Tamandua tetradactyla: one gene and its partner. The protein of the gene in region 1 purifies or fractionates together with the protein of each later gene. This does not show direct contact. Links are inferred from orthologs where the notes say so. Each region holds a gene or a part of one and is shown in the gene's direction. Other genes may lie near its edges.

Region 1 (7,971 bases):
CTCATGAGATTGTTGTGAAGATTAAATGTGATGATGTACTGAAAATGCTCTGAAAACTAAGTTATACTGTAATTCAAATTCTCCATTTGAACTGGATAGGAATACTGTTTGCTAGAACAGGGGAATTTACTAAAATGCACTCAGTCTATTTTGTTGAATGAATAAATGAAGTGAATTTGAATTGAAATTGGAAGGATGAATGAGTCTTGGAGGATAAAGATGAGGTAGCTGAAGGAGAATGTCGAAGACTGAGAGGACTGCATGATGACCTGACGATGCAGAAGGTTTGAAGAACAGTGTCTGTGGTCTGCTGTGCCCTGATGTGTCAAGGGGCATAATGTGAGATGAAATTAGAAAGGTTAACTTAGGAGCAGATCATAGGGAACCTTAAGACCCACCATAAGAGTTTGGGCCAAATTCCATAAATAATAGGGAGTCATTGAAGGTTTGGGGGAAAGAAGAATGACATGATATATAAACTTTCTATATTTTGTAATGATACCTTTTACAGCAGTGTAATTTGTCCAAAAGGTGTATTGAGTAGGCAAAAGCCTGGAGACAGGGTGGCTGGAGCAGGGGTGTGGGGAGGTTTTGAATAGTTCAGCAAGAACGACAGTAGGCATGAGAAGCAGGGTATGGACACAAGGGAGGTGGTGAGGTTGAATGAACAGGACTTGGAAGCTGACTGGTGTAGGAGAAGAGTGAGAAGGAGGAATTGAGGATGAACTTTCTAGTCTGAGTAATTTTTATTAATGGAGACAGAAACACAGCAGAGTTGATCTGAATATGTTTAGTGTTGACGGGATTTCCTTAACTGTTTTGTGTTTTTTTGGTCTGTTGTCAATTCTTTGATACACTCCAGCCCATCAACTTTAGTTTGGATCATTTTTTTCTCACAGTTGCCAACACATCAGGGAGGTCCATTGAGCTCAGTGACAGGCCCTTCCTCTTAAAGGAGAATGCCAACTACTTGAAAGGAATGGAGTACTAATTTTTTGGTACTCTTTTCTCTTTGAATTTTCATGGCAACAGAGAACACACAGAGTGCTCCTTCTTACAGCTCTGAGATTTAAGACTCACGGAGTTGCTGGGTGGGCACTTTTTAAAGAAAGCCTTTAGTTTTGTGTTCTTTTTTTACTTCTTGGCCCAGCACAACCAGTTAAATGCAGGAAATGAAGATCTCATTGCCTGAGTTTTCATTGACTAAATTCCTTTGGATAGCCAATGTCTAAGCCCTGCTTATTTTGTTTTTAAAATTGTCTTCATATGCATAACCAGCATCAAAAAGTGTTCATTGAAGTTCATTTGAGAATGGTACTGGGATGTTATAGCACCCAGGATTGTAGTCATGAAATAGTTATACCATCTGCCATGGAGGGGATGCTAAATTCTATCCAGGAAGTGTTATGGTATCCATGTTTCTGCCTGTTGGGATGGGGCTGAGTAGGTCACTTTTGGGTAGAAACACAATCAAGAGATTGACTCTCCTGTGAAATAGAGCTGATTAAACCTTCCCTTCTATTACAAGCAGAGCACAGGGAGATAGGCTGAGCCACACAGAGTAAAGAAAAATATTCTGGACTAACAGGCATTTGGTAGCAGGCATTTTGCAGTGTATATTAGAGTGAGCAAACCTCATTTGCAATATAACTAATAAAAATTGTACTTGAAGTATCTCTTGCAGGATGTAAGGTTTATCTCTGTGGGTATTGTACACTAGGCACTATAAAAAGTGATGCAATAGCCTCTGATCTATAGGAGTTCACAATCATTCATTGACTGGTTACAAGGTCCCAGATGATGTCCTGTGAACTAGAAATATAAAAATATATAAAACATAATCCTACTCTAAGGGAGCTCCCTGTCTACTGGGGATTATAGTCCTGCAACAAATTACAATGCCATCAAATAAACACTAAAGTGAAAGTATGTATGATGCTTTCTGTGAGCACAGAGGAGAGGGATTAGATTTATGAAGTAAAGGTGTGCTTCATAGAGATGGTAAAGCTAGAGCTGGGTCAGCAAGGATGAGCAGGTTAAGTAACAATTTCAAGCAAAGGCAAGATTATGTAAAAAAGGCATAGGGAAGTGAGAATATATGGCTTAATTAAGAAAATTATGGGTGATGCAGAAACTATTTCGTTGTCTGCACAATGAACATTTGCCTCTTGCTGACCAAATTCAGCATCAGTCAGGCACCAGCTGCCATATGCTTCAAAGGACAGGACATCCCTCTCCAGCCTAAGGGGTTTGTTTTCAAAAGTTTGCCATTCACAGTACAACAGTATCCCTTGCCAATAACTGTTTTTTTTTTTTGCATAGGCTGGTTGATGAAACAAGCAGGGAAGCTGCCGGGGACTCCTGGAAAAGTCTTTCTTCCCTCTTTGAAAGATAATCAAGATGGGGAATTTCTTTTTCCTTTCTTTGTCTGTTTTAGTGCATGCAGCTGCTGTAGCCATCTTGCAATTGCAAGGGATGGGCCTGAGGACAAAGGCCAACACACAAGAGGTTGGTAGAACAGAATGTATAGGTCCACAATGATGTCATTGAATTGGTGGAGTTCTCTTAGAGTTACTGGATTTCCTATTACATGAGATAATAAAATTTCCTCATTGCTTATGCCACTTTTAACGAGGTTTTCTCTTACTGTGTATGAAAACATCTTAACTGATACCTTGAGGGTTAGTGGTATCTAGAGGAAATCATTGAAGTTAGAGTCTCTGATTTATTTCCTGTCAGCTGCTGACCATGGCCACCATTCCCAATAAATTCTATGCAAAATCCCTGTAAAGGAAAACTTTTTATTACCAGCCAGTTCCAAATTCCCTCAAAGGCGTATTTCCTGGTGAATGGACAATTGTTTGGGTTACCCAGGCTGCTCAAAGCAGATATCATGAAATGGGTTGGCTTTAAACAATGGGAATTTATTGGCTTACAGTTTGAGGCTGTGAGAATGTCTAAATAAAGGTGATGCTTTCTGCCTGAAGACCAATTGCTGGTGATTCTTGACTCCTCTTCCATGTGGCAAGGCACATGGTGGTATCTTCTGGTCTCTCCCTTCCCTTATAGGTTCTTTGCTTCCAGCTTCTTGTTTCCAAGGCTTTTCTCCTCTCTCTCTCTCTCTCTTTCTCTCTCTCTCTCTCTGTATTCATTTCAATTATAACGGACTCCAGTAATAGGATTAAGACCCATCCTGAATTAGGTGATTCACATCTTAACTGAAGAAGCCTCATCAAATGGTCTTATTTATAATGGGTTTACATCCACGGGAATGGATTACATATAAGAACATGTTTTTCTGGGGTACATGTAGCTTCAAACCACCACAAACATACATGAGCCTTGAGGTCCTTCTTGTTTTGTGCAGATTGTTTCCCATCCTAAAACACTCTCTCATTCTCCTCTGTCTAGTTACCCTCTATTCATCCTCTGGGTTTCAGCTTAGATACTATTGCTCTGAGAAGTCCTCACTAGCTGACAAGTCAGAGTTGGGTGCCCCTCTAGTGGCTTTCCAAGCCTTTTGGACTTGCCCTATCTTAGCACTTAATGAACTGTATTGCAATTGCCTCTTAACTGCCATTATCTCCCATAGAAACCGATGTCTTGGGAGCACAGACTGTGAGAATCCTGCTTACTGTTGCAAGCCCAGTGTTTAATATAGTTTCTGCCTTACAGTAAACACTTAATATATATTAAGTGACTGAAAGAAAATAAAAGACATCATGGTGCCAAGCCAACAGTCTGCAGTCCTAGAGTATATCTATGGCATTTTGGCTAGTGCCATGAAAAGTGGGAGCTGGGTAGGCATTGGCAAAACTCAAAGTAAGCAAGTTAGTGTTTTGCCCATATGGATTATACTTGGGATCCTATATTGGTATTCTTCTACACTGCTGCCCTTTCACTTTCCTCACATTTTCTATTTCTCTCTCCAGTTCCCCTGAAAATTTTCTAGGTCTGGGGCTTATTTGACCCTTTTAAGTAATATGGGAACAATAATGATTTATCCAAGAGTGATCAACTAATCTATTACTTCTCTTAGGAAAAAAACACAGTGCTTTAAATACCAGTTAAAACCACATAAAAATTACATGTCTCCAAAAGTTCATAAAAAATTTTCAAGAATTTATGATAGGGTAGAGAGCAGGAAGCAAGTTGGACTTCCAGTATCCTCATAACATAGTAGGCAGGTGTTTGCTTACTCTGATCCATGATTTCAGTAAGAATTTTTGGATGATAATTTTATCTTTGATACCTGAAAATATGGCATAATATTAACTAACCCTAAGATAATCTCTTAAGGCTGGCTATGCATATGCCTTGCAGATTTTTCTTTTCTAGAGGAAATTAGTGTTCTGCTAGGTATAATAACTAACAGTCGTCTCACCTGCCATGCTGGAGACCCGGGTTAGATTCCCGGTGACTGCCCATGCAAAAAAAAAAAGGAAAACTAATAGTAAATTTCTTCAGGGTGAAAATTATTCATTCATTCAACATTTGGGTGCTTCCTATATATGTGCCAGATACCATGCTAAGCACAGGGTAACCTGTGGTGAATAAGACAGACATGAGCCCTGTCCTAGTAGAGCTAACAGATCAGTGGGAGACAGACTACTAATAAGTAGAAAAAGTTTGCTCTAAGTGCATGAATGAAAGCAATTCATTGCTGAGACAGAATCAGGTGTGGGGTGGAAACCTAATTAGGTTCCCTGAGAAGGTGACATTTGAAGTGGAACTTAAAGGATGAGAAGAAGCCAGGTCTCGGAAATGGGGTCACCTTCACCATAAATCAGTCAAATATAAATACCAATCTCTTCGGCCACAAGGGTACCATCCACAACGTATAAGCACAGAAACCTCATACCAGCACTAAAGATGGCGAGAGAGGGGAGGGGGGCATCCTTGCGCCGTGATTGGCTAGGACAGAGGGAGGAGCGTCACGTGGCTCTGCCGCGGAGCATCCGGGCTCCCGAGAGCGGTGCTGCCTCTGGCTACCCGAGCCGCGGGAGAGGCGGCCCCGTGGGCGGGGGCGAGGCAGTGGGACCCACGCGTATAAGGCCGGCCGCCGCGATCGTAGCGGGGGTGTTCCTGGGCCGCTCGTCTAGGCCGAGCGGTGCACGCCGCGCCCGGCCTTCCGAGCATGGCGAGTTACCTGCCTCCTTGCGTGGTGGACTGTGGCACCGGGTAAGAGCCTTGCCATCTCCATCCCCTCAGTCCGCTGGACACCCTCATCCCTGTTCCTCCCGCTTGCTCTGGTCTTCCAGTTCCACAGGCGTTGAGCAGTTCCTTGTGGCCTCCCTCGCGGACCCTGCAGCCTGAGGTATCCCGCCTTCTCCCCTGGAGGTAGAGGTAGCTGAGCCCTGGACTCCCGGCCTCAAGCCGTCTACCCACCTGTGCGGATAAAGGCGGCGGCATCTCCACCCTGCACATCTCCTACCCCTTTCCTTAAATATTTCGCCTTTAGATTTTAAAATTCTCTTTTAACTACCAGTAAAGGTGTATCTTCCGGGGCGCGCAAAAAGGTCACTCACCTTGAGGAAAGGGAAAGAATGGAGAGGGAGTGACGGGCCCCATATAAATCTGTTTTGATTCTCTTCGTGTCCTACATCCTCTTAAGTGCTGGGCCGAGGTGGGTACCCCGAACTTCCAGCCGCAGTATCGCTGAGTAGGACCCTCTTAGCATCTCACCCTTGCCTTGAAAGCCAGTTTATTTAGGTGCTTTCAACCTTCTGTTCCTGCCATCCAGTATTCTTAAGTGGCGCTTATTCAGTGCCCACATCAATTGTGTTTTATTTCTCTTTGCTGATGATTTACCACCTAGTTACGGAGATGTTTATATAGTCCTATCGACTTGATACCCTTTTTACTGCCTTCTTTTCTTTTCCAGTATTAAATGGCTCACTCAGGAGATTAATTCTTGTTAAGTGCTTGCTTTAGTTTGAATAGACATGCCCTTTAGCTTAAAAATGATGTGGGTTAAAAGACTCCATTTTGAAAAACGGAAAGGTTAAATTTGGGGAAGCTTGTTTGTGAATTAGGTTTTTATTTTTTTTTTTTTACCTTTTTTGTGATTGCTTCTTTTACTGTTATTAAGATATACAAAGAAGACCTTAGGTAATTTCTTGTACTTTGAATGGCCCAAGCTTCCCTGATTTTAGAGAGGTGATTGCTGAATCCACAATGCTGGTAGTTTGGAAATTCAAGCTTGCCTGCTTACATTATGGATAAAGTTCTTAATAAAATTGCCTGGAATTAAATTTACTTGCTTGAAGATTTGTCAAGAAGAGATTTTAATAATCGTTGCCACAAAGTATTCCATGGCCTGTTCACCTTAACCTTGATTCTTTTTAGTAGAAAAATACGCTTGATTTTGGTTTCCTTGACAACCTAGTGTGGGTGTCATCTTCAATTTGTTACAGTCCCTCTCCTTGTGATTTTTCTTTCTTTCTTTTTCTTTTGCCATTGAAACTACTGCTAGTGATTATAAGCTGGAGAAACTGCCTCTTTGCTAACGCTAATTCTTCTTTTTGAAATATACATTGTGCCAGACTTTTGGTGGCTCATTATTTCAGAAGTTATTTTACTGCTCAAAACATGAGCTAAAATCAGTATTGATGTTAACCCCAGGGAGAAATTCTTGGCTCCCTTATCCATCTTCTCCTCTCCACCCCAGACTCTCTCCAGTTTCAGCGTTCACCTCACACCCCTACTTTATTTAGGTCTAGTTGTATCAAGACTGAAAGCAACAGGTAAAAATATTTTTTCATTTCCACATTTTCATGTGAGAACTTTTGCTTTCATATGTTTGGGTCTTGTAAAACTAATAGAAATATCAAGCATTTCTTAATGGTAGCAAGTAAAATGATATCCACAGAGTTTGTCATACCTTTACTATGAGTGAGCTGGAGATCTTACTTGTCATTCTTGCTATAAATATGTAAAATGTTGTGTGAATTTTTGACCTTTTGAGGTAAATGCTGAATGTAGCTTTGTGGATTCTGAGATACAACTTTAGTTATCATTGTTTTATGGTCCAAAGTCATGCTGTTGTCTTCAGGCTCCTCAACTTAGAAGTGCTGGCAGGGCTTCCTCTCAAAGGGTTTCACATGGACATATTCTGTCATGGAAACTTCTGTAATTCATCATGAGCTCCCATTGTCCAGAGTATGGCTAGAAGAGTCTAAATTTATCCTCTTAAGCATGTTGGTAATCCTTATATTTTCTAAAGAGCTGAAATTGTTTCACAATTGAGTTTTACCTCAAAATAGGATAAAAATGATAAAACATAGCCAAAAATAACCAGGTTCAAGGAAAAGAATGGGCTTGGGGAGTCATCTTAAACTTAGGCTAGTGCTTCCTGTAATTGGGCCTCTGATTTGGCCTTAGTCTTCATGACAAAGTTATGAGAGTTATGTGAGTTCGTAATTCCTGTTATCAGGAAGGAAGAGAAACACCTGTTTCTCAGGTGAAAACAGTTCTTTCTAGTATGAAATTCTAAAAGAAAAAAATTCACCTTGAACTATACTTAGTGGACACTGATGATTTATGATCCTAACCAGGACCATAGCAAATAGATTGCATTCTGGTGGCCTCACATCCGTTAATAAATCAGGGACCAACTAAGTGAGGAAAAGTGGGCTGTGGACCAAGACGGTAGTATGGACCAGGGGAGATCTGCTTGATCCAAAGTTAAAGCTTCGTCTGTTTAAAGGAATAGAGAAAATATTTCACAAATACCAGTCTCAGTCTCTTAGCTGATTTTTGAAAATGATTTTTTAATTGAGATGTATATTCACATACCATATAATTATCTAAAGTATATAATCAGTGGTTCATAGTATTATCATATAGCTGTGCATTCGTCATCACAATTGATTTTTGAACATTTTCATTACTCCAAAAAAGAAAAAAAGAATAAAAATAAAAGTAAAATGAACACCCAAAACATCTGATCCTTTGATCTAACATTCTCTG
Region 2 (7,074 bases), on another chromosome or scaffold:
GTATACTGTACGGCGGGGTTACATTTCATTCTTTTTCCATGTGTGTCCTGTTATTGCAGCACCATTTGTTGAATGGTTTGTTTGTTTTTGTTGGCTTCTTTGTTTGTTTGGGAAGTGCATGGGCCAGGAATCGAACCAGAGTACCTCGCAAGGCAAGTGAGAATTCTACCACTGAAATACCCTCATATTCCCTGGAACAGCTTTTAAAAAGGGAATTTATTAAGTTGCAAATTTACAGTTCTAAGCCTATAAGAATGTTCAAACTGAGGCATCCAGAAAACGATAACTTGGATCAAGAATGGCCAATGGGTCAGGAACACCTCTGTTAGCTGGGAAGACATGCCTGGCATCTGCTGGGGTCTCTGGCTTCTCCTTTCAAGCGACTCCTAGGGGGCATTTTTTTTCTTCACGTCCAAAAGCCTCTGGCTGTGTGGGTTCTGTTGGCTCTGAGCTTTTTCCAAAAGGGTTCCCTCTTAAAGGGCTCCAGTAAGCAACCTCACCTTGAATGGGTGGAGACACAGTTCCATGGAAACAATCTAAAGTTACCACCCACGATTGGGTGGGTCACATCTCCACGGAAACAATAAAAAAGATCCCACCCAACGACACTGAATAAGATTAAAGAACTTGGCTTTTCTGGAGCACACAACAGATTCAAACGGGCACAATCATCATCACCATAACTGAAATATACTTATTTTGTATTTATAACACACATCTGATATATTTTATTAACACTGAGTTCACTTTGATTCCAAATAATAAAAACAATAGTGCCATGCTAGCAAAATTCAATGACTTCATTTGTTTAAATATTTAGAGACAAATTTAAGGGAAAGAAGCACATGGGCAGTAAAATTCTTGGTTTAAACTATCTGAGAAGACCTATTATAGGATCATGCTATTAAAGTTTCTTCTAACTAATAAGACCCTTGACTTTGCATCATCATAGAAAATTAGAAGGAGCTATATACTATCATGCAGCATTAACTTTTAGAAAATTCACATTCTGTCTCGCTTTAGTAGTAGTCCAAACCAGGTTATTTACATAAAAAATCAAATGTCTCAAAACCTTATGGATTCTTTAGTTCAGGGTCAAGTACTCATCTTGAAATGTAAAATAGGGAGACTAATATTATTTACAATGAATTAAATATCATAGTTAACATTAAACATTTGGAAATTTGCAAGGAAGTGGGATAATGTGTACAATGTGTATTTCCTAATTAAAAGAAAAAAAGATAACTAAGGATGAGTCTCTTCACAAAACATCTCCCTAAGATTTATAAAGATTTAACTATTAGCTAACGTGGGTATTAATGTCTATTCAAAAACACTCAGTTTTTAAATATAATTCCAAAATTATATTTGTTCCAAAACTTGTCACATCATTAACTCATTTGATAGAAACTTATTGAGCACCAACTATGTACCTAGGCACTTAGTTCATTGTGAGACAGTAAAAAATACTGCAGTGGAAAAAGAACCTTTTTGACATCTGAAATGTAGTATGTATTTTGAGGCTAAGAATTAATTACATTTAACACATTCAACATACAGTGCAAAATTCTGAGCAATAAAAACCATTATACCCTTGAGCAACCTCGATTTTTAAAAATTCTCCTCACTGTTCCCTTTAAGTTGATTTTTACCCAGTAAGTCTTTCTCAGTTCTAAAATAAGAGAATAGAAAGATTTCCTAAACAAGACTTAATACAAAAGACTAGAAATGTAAGAGAAGGGATTATTAACTCTTGAATCCTTGTTGCCACTTACTCTCAATAGTGCTTTTAATGCTCAATTTTCTCTTCAAAGAAAATCCTGAATTATAAGAACAAAAAGTACAATCATCTTTAGAATCTAAATAAGTATGTTGTCTAGCTCTTACTAAAATTAGCAGAAGATTTAAACTGAGAACAAATATTAAAACAAACCTTTATTCTAAGTTATATAACGCCATTCACCATAAGCAATAATTTTGTATTTTGGTATCCGATATTTTAAAATAAATATTACTAACAGGTAGAAAATTTGTCTTTGCTGTTTTACAGTCCTAGGGGAGTTTGTATCAGTATATTTGTTTAAAACTTGAATGTTAATTTAAAGAAATGCCACTTTCTGTCACCTAAATGACATATCTTCTAGAAGGGTAATTTAATCGAGAAATGAAAAATACCACATTGTTTTCCTCTCCCAAGGAAAAAAGATGCATTCAATTCCTGAGATGTCTCTCTCTCTCTTTCTTCCTCTCTCTCTCTCTCTCTCTCTCTCTCTCTCTCTCTCTCTTTCTCTCTCAAAGGTTTGAGGTCTCTCTTCCTTTTCTTAGTGATTCATTATTCTCAGTATGTTTTCAACCTAACTGCCTTTCACACTTCATTTCTCCACCAAGCATTTATTGAGTACCTTCTGCAAGCTTAACTTTATGACAGATGTAAAGAAAGGTAAATATATATATATTTATCTATCTATCTATCTATCTATCTATCTATCTATCTATCTATCTATCTATATGGTCTGTCCTTCAGAATTTTGCAATCTCTTTTGGGGGCAAGTTAAAACATAATATATCATTTAGCAATTTATAAAGCTAGTCCCCAAATCAATGGTACAGGTAACATACATTTTACATTAATGCAGAATTTTAGCGCTTCAAAACACTTTTGTGCATTTAATCTTCATAAGAATCTTATGAAATACACACCATTATTCCTATTTTAGGCATGAGGAACCTGAGATTAAAAATTTTAAATTGCATGCCTCAAGCAGATTATAAATTGTAGCCAAGACTCAAGTCTGGGTTTTTATGATTCTAAGCCCAGTGCTCTTTTCAATACACCACAGAAAACCAGGTATTGAGTTATTCAACAGGGGCAACAGTCAGCCTTCTGCTAACGGAGGACCTAAACTGGATCTGATAGAATGGCAGGAAAATATGAAGCCACCTGAGCTGTGTCCAGCTAAATGTTCAAATTAATTTTATTCTGCATATATTTGAACTTTTAATTAATTTGTACTTCACTGTAATACATACAGCACAGCTACCTTTTTTATAGTGGCTTTACCTCAATAACAGCTCTAGTCTCGGAAATGGGGATGCCAAATATAATAAAAAGCTGGCCTAGTAGCACCATATAAATCATAATATAAATATTATAACAATATAAATATCATAAATATAAATATTAAGGGTCTCATTTCTACGAATCCTAACACATTCTGTTTCCCCTCAGCACCAGAGAGCCTAACTTGCCCCCACCCTCCTCTAGCATTCTTGCTCCAAACCACCACCTATTTTAAGATGTGAATAATGACTGACCAAATTCTACAGGTTCTCCGGTTTTACCACCCAACCCCCGCCCCTCCCAGCCACCTTCCCCTCCTTCCCAATGGACACGATACCGAGTTCAGCTTCTGCAGGTCCTGTCATGATGTTGTCACACAGCACTGAGAAATAAAATACGACCTTTCGACTCCGTCCTTGGGGACCTCTCGTTGGCCGCACGATGTAGTTCTAAACCCGGGGAGGGGACCTAGCTTGGGAAGACCGTCCCCTGAAGCGCGGTGTCCGAAGCGATGTCTCCGACAACTAGAACGACGCTGGGCATCCGGGCGTACACCACTCCTCCCCATCCTCCTGCCAACTGCAGGGAACTCGGTCCGGCAACCAGTCCATCTCACCCCATGGGTAAGGCCAGATCAGCCGGACTTTACGCAGAACTCCAATGACAGCTCAGCCGGGAGAGCAGCAAAAGCCAAGGCCGCCGGCTCCTTGCGCCCATAGCCTTCAACCTCGGACCCCCCAGACTGGACCGCAGAGAAGCGTTTCTATGGGAACCCCCTCGGGATTACGTGACGCTTTCGGACAACCAATTGCCTGTTACCTTTGGCAGCGGTACCGCTTTTCGCTTTGCCTCCTACTCCGCCCCCTCCCGCCCCCGCCTCCTTCAGCCAGCCCCGCCCCTTTCCTGCGGAGAGTCTGCGCATGCGCACTGCGCACTCCCTCCCTGCCGCGCTCTCCTGGGGACAGCGCCCGGGGCGTAGGAGGCTGGAGAAGAGCGTGAACCTAAGGAGGAAGGAGCGGGGCCACCGCGCAGGCCCAGAACCGCCTGAGCCGCGGCTGCCGGCGACGCCCCAGAGCGGAAGAGGGAAGTGAAGGCGCAGGCTGCGGATTCTGCTGGGTTGGGGTTGTTGAGGAGCGGTCCCCACCAAGAGGAGGCCTTTGCCGTCGGTCCGCATCAGGGATGTCGAAGAATACGGTGTCGTCAGCCCGGTTCCGGAAGGTGGACGTGGATGAGTACGACGAGAACAAGTTCGTGGACGAGGAAGACGGAGGCGACGGCCAGGCCGGGCCGGACGAAGGCGAGGTGGACTCCTGCCTGCGGCAATATCCTTGCGTCCCCCGCGCTCCCCACCCGGCTCTTCTCTCCGGACCCCGCCACCCCGCGGGGTCGGAGGGCCAGGGACCCCTCCCGGGACGGACGCGGAGCTGCCCCTGCGGCGCGCGGGTGGAACCTTCCTGTTTGGGGGCCCCATTCTGAGGAGTGAGAGGTTCCCTCCGATTCTAACAGAGCCGCCTCGAGACCTCAGGGTCCCAGGCTGGGGAACCTGCCCTTCCGAACGCGCCTTCCACGCGCCCGGACTCCTCAGGTTGCTCCGGGAGTTCCTGCCTCTGGGGAACAGGCTTCGCCAGCCTCGCCCTCGCTGCGCTGGGGAAGGAATTAGGTGCCTGTCGGTAGGGCTGTGTTTTCTCTGTGCTCTCCCTAGAACGGTCTTTACTAGACTCGCTGTCGCTCCAGAAATTTCGGATCGGGGAAAGGGCATGTTTCTTTAGTGGCTTTGTTTGTTTTTGTTTTTTTCTTGCGTTGAAATAGTTTCTTCCTTGCCAGGAGGGATACCGCGGTTCGCAGAATGAGATCCTAGGTCTTTTCAGCCCACGACCTACTGCTGCCTTTTTTTTTTTCCTTTTTTTTTCTTTTAAGAAAAAAAGGATTTGGCAAAATACAGCTTGCACAAAATTTAACTGAGGGGGGGGCATTTAACTGAGGGGAGGGGAGTGAGTACAAAACAAAATTCCCAAGAAAGGAAGCTTGGAGTGCTTTACCTGCTCGAGAAAAGGTTGGTAGAAAACGGGGAAGACCTAAAGAGAACCCGTGGATATATTTAAAATAAATTCCCGTGAGTAAAATTGAAGAGGAGTCGTTTGTATAAAGCAGAAACATTTTTGGAATCCCTAAAATTGTTTCCGTTTTAGTTAAAATGTGACTGTCAGTGCCTGGGTTTTGGTTTTGCGTATTTTGAGTAATCATATTTAGTTATTCGCATTTGCATCATATCTTTTTAGAAAAATGTAGATGTTGCCATACAAGCTGCAGTTTTTCAGATTTTGGGGGGCTGAACTTCATGCTTTTCTAATTATTCCTGTCCATAAAAGAAGGAAGGCTTTTCATACTCTTTCCTCATGCATGTTCTATTAAATTATAATGGGGGAAATATTTGGTACAACTATATTTGGCTTTATCAACGTACATATGTTCCCTTGATTTCTTCAACTTTCACAATCAGTTACGATTTTGCATTATTTCGATATTTGTGATATGTTTTGCATCTTAAAAAATGAACCAATCTACAAGAGGCATGCTTCGCTAGAAGTTTGAAAATAACAGTTTATCACCAACCTTTGAGTTTTTTGGACAGACTTTTTTCTCCGGAAGATAAGTGGAAAATATTATTCTTTTTGACATTCTTTAGGATGGATAAATCAAGTTTTGTAAGACTAATTTAGCCTATTTTAGATTATTTGTATGACGCTTAAATAATAGTGCTGTAGTCCTCTCAGTGGATCTGATTTTTAATCAATTTATCTTAAAATATAAAGATATCTCTTCAGCCTTTGTTATGAACCAGGGGAGATAAGCCTGCCTTCTCTGAGGGAGCCCAGCACTAGAGATGGAGGAAATAAGTGAACTTAGTGGTTTTCCTTTTAGGGGAATGACTGTACATTCTAATAGTCTGATTGGCCTTCCGTTTCTCATAGTAGCTAACCCAGTGGTGCTTTCAAAGAGGCTAAATGTAATAGGTATGGGCTAAAACAGTTTGAATGATCTGAAAGAATATATCCAAAACAGAAAAATTAAGCTGCCACCTAAGGGTCGTTTGTGTTATTACACTTTCTGTGATGTCTCCTGTCATCAATATTGAGAAATGCTAATAATATTGTTGAGATGCCAGGGTAATCTACCAGGATTTTCTACCAGAATTTCAACTATTATAGAATAAAGTTTTGGTAAAAGTTTAATTTTTTTTCCTAGTCATAATCACATAAAAAAGACATTTTGATTGCTAGGGGACCTAATAATTCTGATATGTATTTTAGGGTTTAATACCACTCTGGATATTGCGTGCATATGTTTCCCACGGGAATATGAAAGGTTATCAAGGTATTCATTTGCTATTTAGAACCAAAGGTGAAAAGTCTTTACAAAAAAATAATGTAATGTTCTGTTTTCAGTAGTTTACCTTTGAAGGCCATCTTTGAAACTGGCACATTGAATTTTCCAATAGTGAACATAGTGACTATAGTAACTTTTCCTTTTTATGTAAAAGTCAAGTTATAAAAACCAATGGTTATCAGTAGTTATAGTGCTTTCCTAGGGGCTATCCTTTGCTTTTATCTCCTTAACCTCCATCACAGGAAATATGACAGCTGCTCTACAAGCAGCTCTGAAAAATCCCCCCATCAACACCAAGAGTCAGGCGGTGAAGGTGAGTCACTGACAGCCCAGTGATCTCTACTGGGATCTTATCATTTGTCCCCAAATCCCCTGAAGTTTCACAAAACCAGCAAACTATTTTAGCTATTCACTGTCTTTGACTTAGAAGAGCTTACTATTTAGATTTGAAAAATTACTCTTTAATATAGTTATGATAATGCATGGTAGGTATAATAAGTTCAAAGAATTCAAATGACAAATCATTCCTGTGTGTTTTTAGAGGGGGCCACACAGGTTAAATTTGAGCAAGGGCTTGAAAAATTAAGCTTTTACAGAAATGAACATTCTATTTGCTTGCTTTTTAA

What was found. The genes of interacting proteins can lie anywhere in the genome.
Region 2: the proteins of ACTR3B (region 1) and ARPC5 purify together in Homo sapiens (affinity purification with mass spectrometry; 5 studies listed by BioGRID and IntAct, counting the BioPlex papers as one, with this or other methods). This does not show direct contact. The link is inferred for Tamandua tetradactyla from reciprocal best matches to the Homo sapiens genes ACTR3B and ARPC5.

Annotation. Positions count from the first base shown.
Region 1 is NC_135327.1:197,439,978-197,447,948, forward strand, and holds the start of ACTR3B (actin-related protein 3B), read left to right. Parts: upstream 1-4,964; 5' UTR 4,965-5,137; coding exon 5,138-5,181; exon of another isoform or gene 5,182-5,349; intron 5,350-5,603; exon of another isoform or gene 5,604-5,626; intron 5,627-7,971. UniProt on the Homo sapiens protein: Plays a role in the organization of the actin cytoskeleton.
Region 2 is NC_135330.1:38,564,687-38,571,760, reverse strand, and holds the start of ARPC5 (actin-related protein 2/3 complex subunit 5), read left to right. Parts: upstream 1-4,013; 5' UTR 4,014-4,240; coding exon 4,241-4,383; intron 4,384-6,679; coding exon 6,680-6,761; intron 6,762-7,074. UniProt on the Homo sapiens protein: Component of the Arp2/3 complex, a multiprotein complex that mediates actin polymerization upon stimulation by nucleation-promoting factor (NPF).